2 linked regions of the Drosophila melanogaster genome follow. The protein of the gene in region 1 interacts with the protein of each later gene in a pairwise test. Each region holds a gene or a part of one and is shown on either strand. Other genes may lie near its edges.

Region 1 (4,378 bases):
AAGTTACAATAATTCGTGCTTACGCGGTTAATTTAAAAACGAATATATAAATATGTGGATTTATGAAATACAGATACGTGAGGTTGGGGGCACGCAACATAAATGAGCCCGCTGCTGTCCACACAGTCATTAATGTCTTTGTGCACCATGACTTCATTGCATCGGAATACCGAAATGATATAGGACTGCTTCAACTGTCGGAGAGTATCGTCTACACAGGTATGTATGCAATTTAACCACCGTAGCCCCATTTCAATGCATTTCTTCGCAGTTCGAGTTCAACCAATTTGCATCTTTTTGGATCCGGCTCTCAAAGGGAGTGTTGAAAAATTGAAAACGTTCAGAGCCCTTGGCTGGGGAAATAGGAACGGAAAATTGAGCATAATGTTGCAAACCATCTATCTTCTACACTTGAAAAGAAATGAGTGCAAACGCAAATTGAACTTTAATCTCAATTCAAGACAGATTTGCGCTGGAACCAAAAATGGAGACACCTGTAGAGGCGATTCTGGGGGTCCCTTGTCCACGAATATATTGTTTCCTTCCAATAAAAGTTATGAGGTGCAGTTAGGAATCGTAAGCTTTGGGGATCCAGAATGCCGTGGAGTAGGAGTCTATACCGACGTGACCAGCTATGTGGATTGGATCTCATCGACAATAGCTAGAAATGACTACCTACCAATCGGCGTGTCCGGGGGAGACATTGCCATGGGCAATCCCATTGCTCCTGACGCTAATCGGCACTGGACTCCTGCGGCTTCACCACCACTTCCTTCGATGTTGTACAATAGCTGCAGTCAGGATATCGCGGCACCGATCGCGCAGCTAAGAATTTATTGGCCTGGTTCTTATGCCGTTGGCGTATTAATAACAGATCGTAAGTATACTCTTTCACTCGAGAATTCCACAATTAAATGAGTATAAATTTAACAAGATTGAGTTTCTTTTCTTAGAATTGATCATCGCTGCTGCCACAGACCTGCCCACAGTTGCCGCCTATTTGTAAGTTGTTCGAAGGATTATCCCTTGTGCATTAACTGCTATTTTTCACATTAGTTACTAGTTTATTTTGATACCATTTTAAATTAATTATTCAGATACGTGTTCGTAGTGCTCGAAGGAATAAGCGCAATCAACCAAATTGAATCGGTTTCAAAGCACCCAAATTTTACTACGAATGATTACCGAAATGACATAGCAGTACTCAAACTTGTTCGATCAATAAGCAGCACAGGTAGAACATACCTACTATCATAGCAATTGCCTCGATTTACAGTTATATTCTTTTACAGCAATGAAACCCATCTGCATTTTGACAACGCAAATATACCAGCAAAACGCCGAAAAGGCTCGAGAATTGAAAATAATTGATACAGATTTAGCTGAACAATTCGACGTCAGGCTAATGGAAGGGAGCCAATGCGCGAAACATCTCGGATTTCAAATCAACGAAAATCAAGTGTGCATGGTAGATCCATCCGACACAAGTAATCCCCGCCAGAAACGTAGCTACATAGTGGTTGGAGGGATGAATGCCAATGGCCAGATACGCTACATTTTGGTGGGCATTTTCAGTTTTTCATCGAAAAACATACTCGTTTTTACGAATGTTATGAGGCACACGGATTGGATTCTTTCCTTGCTATATTCGTTAAATACGTCATCTTAAAATATTTAAATGCCTTAAAAATGTAAAAGCACGTGTAAATACCAATTACTGACATACGAGTGATTGGTACATGTTTTAATAATAAAGTAACATACGCTAACGAATAAGAAATTGTCTTTGAGAAATCTAAAATATTTAATCATTTTTCGAAGTAATCATGCGCGTTCTGTACTACGAGTAGTGTTATCTTGGAGTCTGGCACCAGGAGCACCTCGTTGGTTCTTGTGCGTATTCTCAGCATTAGTAGTTCGTCCGTGGGATCTATTTTACTCATACCGCGTTCCAGTCTTCCTCGAATAGCCTGAAAAGGTCCCGAAAATTGGACAGCATCCTCTCGGTCCATCGTACTCATCACCGGATGTCCCGACTCGTTGAGGATCACTACATCTCGAACATGTTTTTTCGATTTGACCAGGTCGAATGCTTTTTCCACATATCGTAGAGTTCGAGGTGGCTATTTAATGATGTAACCTATAAATAAATATAATTACATTCAATATGGAAATATTTTACCTTTTGTGGAAGATCCGGAAACATATTTCTCGTCTGCTTTGAAACACCTTGAACTTCGTAGTAACGGTTTCGTGAATTTTTAACCTAATTTTTTTTGTTTTCTTGGTTTCCAAGGTGCGTGTTGCTATATGGGTCAATATGCCAGATTAAACAATTCTGTGTAGTTGTTATTAATGTATTGTTAGTAAATAATAAACTTATTAAATTATTCAATCACAAATATTTTGATAATTACCGTTGCAAATTTTTTTCTCATTGAAAACTTCATATCGATATTTTCTGTTAACTTATGTGGAAATCTGTTAAATTAACAATGAACAATGTGCCATCACTGACAGTGCATCTCTAATATTGAACAAACAAAGTTTACTATTTCATTGAACTGCAGGTAGCGGTAGTGTCTGCCGTGTTTCCAACAAAATTATAAGAAAAAATGGTAAGTAAGAGTTGTGCATACACAAAAACATTAAGAAAATAACGTTACCTTCATGGCTTACAGTCGCAGGAGGTTGAGGAAACACTCAAGAGAATCCAGAGCCACAAAGGTGTTGTGGGTACAATTGTGGTCAACAATGAAGGTGGGTGGTTCAACTGCACCCCAGTGTGTGCTAAGATATCTAACTAATTCTCAACGCCTCCCAAATAGGTATTCCGGTCAAATCCACGCTGGACAACACTACCACCGTTCAGTACGCTGGCCTAATGAGTCAGCTGGCGGACAAGGCACGAAGTGTGGTGAGGGACTTGGATCCTTCCAACGACATGACATTCCTGCGGGTGCGATCCAAGAAGCACGAGATCATGGTGGCACCCGACAAGGACTTCATCCTGATTGTCATCCAAAACCCAACCGACTAAATGGCATGGTGCATCGCGACTATTGCTGAATTATCTGCACATTTATATCTGTATTCTAATCATCAGCGTATAAATGGAAAGTTAAATTATAATGTAATGAAATTGTACTCCATACAATAAATATATTTATGCATAAAATGACATCACGTAAACATTTTGGGCTCTGTAAACTTCAGGTGTTTTCAGCTGTTAGTCCGCTATAACTATTGATAGGGGCATTCATTCTTTATTTTCAAAAACTGAAATATGCGTTCTCTAATTGAAACAAATGACTCCAAAAGATAAATTTATTTTAACGCTAATTCTAACACGAACAATTAATTATTATAATATTATTATAATTATTGAAGTTGTTTGATGTTTGGGTAGTTGGTTTAAGCATCCGCTTCACCGACGTATTTATCGAATACTTTCGAAGCGAGAGATATGTATTCTCTTGTTACCTTTGAAATTGTTTCCGTTGCTATTAGGTGAACATTTATGTTATGTTGGCAATTAAAGACTACCACGGCTTGTACATAATTGGAAAGATTACAATAATTACAACGGTGTGGTAATTATATCCTTTAAAAACCATATGCAGGGACAGAAGGTATCGAATATGTATAAAATAACTTCGATAGTAGCAAAGTCCCAGACTATCGATGTTTGGCCATCGTCGTTGCACGCCACGGTCACACTGATGCAAAGTCGAGGAAGACGGATTCGTGTGTCGGTGAAAACCCGTGAGTTTTGCGTACTTGCATTTAAAGAAAACCCCTCAACGGAATAGTCAATAAATTGATTGGAGAGCCCAATCAGCCACCGTTTCGACCCAGTGTACGCGTGTGCAGCGAGTTAAGAGATCCACCGATCGATCAAATCGTATTGAAAAAAGGTAATTCGAAAGATGGGCGTGCAGCGAAAAGCGAACGAGTAAAGAAAATGGCGTAATCACGCACTTCGAAACCCAAAAGGCAGCCAGCAAACGCAACGCAAACGGAATCCAAATCCACGAACCCTCAATCGGCCAGTCAGCATTACTTTGGGTGAAAAAACGAGCTATATGAACGTGAAAAAAGTGAATAAAAAACGTAAAAAAAATGTGCTGCAGCCATATTTGTTCCGTGAAAATGAAAACGATACACACACACACACGGGCAAAGTCGAGTGTATATAGTCGTCGGTGCATATATATCTGTCTATACATATGTGCTAAGAATTAACTAAATAAAATGAAGCACTTCGTATCGGATCGTCATCGCACCGTTTCGTTGTTCGCAATTTCATTTCATTTCCAACGCGATTCTCGTTCAACGTACGTTGGTACATAGCCTGCCGTACATACATACGTACTTA
Region 2 (4,872 bases), on another chromosome or scaffold:
GGTATCTACGATGCGCACATTGCGCTGAATGGTTATCCGTTCCTAGACAGCAAAGAAGAGTTTGCGCATACAACACTGGCCGCAGATGTGATGCAACCAAAGTATGTATAAAGAAAACCTTTTTTTCCTCAAGATCATCTAACAAAAACTTCATTTTAGGCGGAATGAAACTTTGAATGTCATTACCCAAGACTCCATGACGGTGGACGATGTTGAGAACCTTCTTAAAGAAACGGAACACAATGGCTATCCGGTGGTGGTGTCGCGGGAGAATCAATATTTAGTGGGCTTTGTATTGCGCAGGGATCTTAACTTGGCCATAGGTCAGTCACAACTTGTTTCGAGATCATGTTGCATAATTAAATATTACAAATTTTATAGGCAATGCCAAGCGTCTAATCGAGGGCATTAGCAGCAGCTCCATAGTATTATTCACATCATCCCAGCCTATTCAAAATCTGGGACCCCAGCCGCTGAAGCTGAAAAAGATCCTGGATATGGCACCGATCACAGTTACAGATCAAACGCCAATGGAGACGGTAGTGGACATGTTCCGAAAGCTGGGACTGCGCCAAACATTGGTAACACACAACGGGTGAGTTTGTGGCCAGAAGCAGTTTAACCAGTTTCAAGTTATCTAATCCAAATTCCATTGCAGTCGCCTACTGGGCGTAATTACAAAGAAAGATGTGCTGCGCCATGTGAAGCAGATGGATAACGAAGATCCCAATACGGTGCTCTTCAACTGAATTTATCAGCCAATCAGAAGTTGGGCGAGCGCTGCTTCTAGTTATTATTATGTGAACTATGTGCAAAATGCAGATTGCAATCTAAGCTTAAGTGAAAAGTTGAACGAGTGGATGCAAAGTGGACTGAAATGGATTAGAGTGGAATCGCGTGATTAGGACAGATAGGATCGGACGTTCGGACGTGAGAGATTTAGCAAAATTGTGTGCAGTTCTATTATATATTTATATATCGCATATATCTCGTTAATGTTAATTGTATAATTTATTTTACTGTAGGCAAATGGTTATAAAAGTTTAGTGTATTCATTTATTGCCATTTTGTAATTATGTCATTCTAGCACTTTTCTACACACAGCATATTTCTTTTTATATGTTCACATACAGCTTGATAACACTATGAAATGATCTATAGTTGTAAAAGGAACATTTTATTTTGTGAATCGTATGTGAAAACGCGGTTTTAACGAGATTCCCACAGAGAATGCAGTCTTATTTTACGCCAAATTTTCGAAATGGCTTTACGTTTTTGCATTTTGTTCAAAATTCTACACAGATAAAATGTCTTGTTTATACAATACATAGTCTATATTTACATGTGGTATTTGTTAGAGATCTGAGAAATTTTAAAATAAAATTGTGTATATACCAAACCTAAGAGAAGATAAAACCGTACATATTAACATAAGCAGTCATGCAAATACAAGCGATTATTTCAAAACTGAGAACAAAATTCAATACGACTATTTAGTGTTCTACGTAGAATATCTGGAACTCGTCGCCATAGAGGCCTGCAATTAACCAGCGTCTGTAAGATAATTATTATTCAAATTTGTTGTTTTATTGATTTCCTTCGTTATTAGCTCACCCATTGTCGCTACTACGGATAAGGCTTCCCTTGCCGCGAAGTCCTCCCTTGACATGGGCATGGGCTCCATCGCTCACCCTATAGTATTCCAGTGACCCATCATTGGCTGGGCAAAAGATGATGTTGCCATCCCGACTACAGGCGATTACGTTTTTAAAGGGAAGTGGAATTTGTACTATCAACTGAGCCATGTCCTGTTCATTATTTAAGAGAAAATAAATAGTGTTCAGCTCGTTTGTTTGTCATGTTATCACCTCATCCACAAGCCGCATATCGTGATAAAAGGCCTGTCCACTGAGATCGCAGCTCAGGACGAACAGGTTGCCCTCCATTTCGGTACGGAGGAGGGTGGAAACCATGAATCGATGTCGCCGTAGGGCCAACAATTTGATCTGCTTGATGGCTGCGGTTTGCCGGCCGGTGTTCCAGCAGCGATAGACGCCACCATCGTTAGTGCCCACGACGAAGTCATCCAGACCAAGGGTCACCATTGCCGTAGGCTCTGAGCTAACCGTTGCGGGCAGGGTGTATCTGGAGAAGTTAATTAAATAATATTTAAGATTAATGCCGGGAAATGTTTCGTTTAGTGTTTAGAGAGACTCACTCCCAATCCAGAGCCATCTGCCTGCTTAAATCCCACTGGCGAACGCTGCCATTGGCAAAGCAGGCCAACAGAAGATGTTCCCGCGGCCAGTCCAGAGCCACTGCAGCTCCCTGGGTGGAGGATACACTGTATAGCTGTTTGATATCGACGCTGGAATCGGAACCCCTCGCCTGCTCATATAACCAGATGAAGAGCTCTCCGTCCATGGTCGAACCAGCGAACATGGTCTTGTTGAACGGATTTGTGCACAGACTTCGCAAACAGGATTTTAGGGGTAGAGTTTTGGCCTCTGTATAAATCACCAAGTTGCCAACGGACATTCTTTGGGGAACAAAGAGTTTTAGCTGCTGATCCACATGCTCGCACCAGTCATCATGGGGAGCTACAGTGGTGGCCACCAGAACTGGGGCGTTATTCGTATGCACACACAGCCAGATAGCCAGTCCTTGCGAGTTTTCTGCACCACCCATTATCAGTTTCTGGTACGTGTACACCTGCAGTTTCTCCTCCAAGCGGCACTGGCTCATCGTTAGATCCTCCATCAGAGGCGTGGGATTCATTAGCTCCCGTTCGACCATGGGGCAGATCTGTCGCAACCACTTCGCCAAAGCCCTCTCATCGTATTCCACATCCTTACTACTAACTACTCGTTGCTCTGTTTGTGTGGCCACATGCAGCTTCTCCTGCGTTCCTGTGGCGGCATCTTGGCTGGGAGGAGGTGGATCGGTGCCCGTACAGTTGTCCACCAGGGCATGCTGCTTCTCCAAAGGCTGCGTGGCCGGAAATTCAACTATGGGTGAGCTGTAATGCGATAGTACGTCCATTTTCCATCAGCTTGAAAACCTTACTGTTTTGGCTTCAGAGCTTTGTGGCTATCGGTATCCTTGGAAACCAACTGACTCAACCCTAAAATAGAGCTAAAGGAAAACATATCTGAGGATCGATTATGAATCCAAGCTTAATCTAATGCAGCCTGAAAATAAATTAAAATATAAGAAATCATATTATATTAATTAATTAATTAAGAAAACTTTAGGATTTATATTGCAAACTTTTAAGAAGTTTTAGAAAGCAAATATCCCTAAAAAATAAATAGGTGACAACCCATTTAAAGTGCATTAAGGGAATCCTTTATAGTAGGCATTGCTGTCATCTGTCAAAGGAATCTATCATTACAAGCAAGTTTTATTTGCAGCAAAGACGTCCAAGCAGCGAAAGAATAAAAAACTAAAGTAAAAATGTTGGTATCATGGGCTAAAATGGCTACAGGTAAGAAGAATGAACCTATTTCACATGACCAGCTTCCTCTGAAAATGAAAAAAACCATGTTAGCATGTGCAAGGATTGGCCTGAAGATGGGCCCGGGTACCGGGGGTTACCGGGGCAACTATCTTGGTAATCCTGTGGTGTTTCCCCGCTACCTTCATGCCTCCCTGTCCCTTTGGGATGACAAGGATAAGAAAAAGTCGGGCGATGAGTGCGAGCCCGAGCCGCAGGAAGTCTGCAAGACGGACGCGGAACTGGTTAAGAAGAAGGATGAAGCCGAGGATGAGTGTGAGGAAAAGAAGTCCGACGGCGGAGGCAAGAAGCTGGAGAGCAAGGGTCGCAAGGGTGTCATCCATGCTGTCATCGGTCCCGTCATCGATGTCTACTTCGAGGAGGAGGTTCCGGAGGTGCTCAACGCGCTCCAGGTGCAGGATGCTCCCATTGCTAACCTAGTGCTGGAGGTAAGTCAAAGGATTAACCAATTTTAAGACGGACGACATTCATATTATATTATCTAATATTTAATTAAAATTTTAAAACGGATTTTAACATAACTTCTAAAGATTCGAAAAGTTTTAAAAATTATTAAACTTAACTTCTATTAATCGATTTCTTAGGTATTCCACCATCTGGGCAACAATATCGTCCGTTGCGTGGCCATGGATTCCACCGAAGGACTGCGTCGTGGTCAGCCGGTCCTCGATACCGGCTATCCCATCCGTGTGGCGGTGGGCAAGGCCGTTTTGGGACGCATCCTCAACGTGGTGGGCGATCCCATTGACGATCGCGGTGAGGTCAAGTCGGATTTCTACTCCTTTATCCATAACGAAGCCCCGGAGCTGACCGACTTGAGCGTGAAGCCAGAGATCCTAGTCACTGGCATCAAGGTGATTGATTTGCTGGCTCCTTACGTAAAGGGCGGTAAGATCGGGCTGTTTGGAGGCGCCGGCGTGGGCAAGACGGTGCTCATTATGGAGCTGATCAATAACATAGCCAAGTCCCATGGCGGCTACTCCGTGTTCGTGGGCGCAGGAGAGCGTACCCGCGAGGGCAACGATCTGTACCACGAGATGATCGAGTCCAAGGTCATCTCCCTGGAGGATGACTCCTCGAAGGTGGTTCTGGTCTTTGGCCAGATGAACGAGCCCCCGGGCGCTCGCTCCCGTGTGGTGCTCACCGGACTGACCATCGCCGAATATTTCCGCGACGTGGACGGGCAGGATGTGCTGCTCTTCATTGACAACATTTTCCGTTTCACCCAGGCGGGATCGGAGGTGTCGGCTTTGCTCGGGCGCATTCCCTCGGCGGTGGGCTATCAGCCTACCTTAGGAACCGACATGGGCACCATGCAGGAACGGATCACTAGTACCCGCAACGGTTCCATCACT

What was found.
Region 2: the proteins of robl (region 1) and CG13074 interact in a two-hybrid assay, tested with the Drosophila melanogaster proteins (2 studies listed by BioGRID).

What each region holds. Positions count from the first base shown.
Region 1 is NT_033778.4:17,453,956-17,458,333, forward strand, and holds robl (roadblock), read left to right. Parts: upstream 1-2,516; 5' UTR 2,517-2,615; coding exon 2,616-2,618; intron 2,619-2,681; coding exon 2,682-2,760; intron 2,761-2,828; coding exon 2,829-3,040; 3' UTR 3,041-3,174; downstream 3,175-4,378. Other genes in the region: CG10764 (uncharacterized protein), read left to right, coding at 74-219, 272-877, 954-1,002, 1,098-1,234, 1,293-1,669; robls54B (roadblock similar 54B), read right to left, coding at 1,809-2,123, 2,183-2,206.
Region 2 is NT_037436.4:16,094,448-16,099,319, forward strand, and holds CG13074 (uncharacterized protein), read right to left. Parts: upstream 3,047-4,872; 5' UTR 3,043-3,046; coding exon 2,219-3,042; intron 2,146-2,218; coding exon 1,869-2,145; intron 1,809-1,868; coding exon 1,615-1,808; exon of another isoform or gene 1,610-1,614; intron 1,557-1,609; exon of another isoform or gene 1,555-1,556; coding exon 1,494-1,554; 3' UTR 1,321-1,493; downstream 1-1,320. Other genes in the region: ClC-c (chloride channel-c), read left to right, coding at 1-101, 160-323, 382-595, 659-749; ATPsynbetaL (ATP synthase, beta subunit-like), read left to right, coding at 3,457-3,487, 3,551-3,945, 4,102-4,872.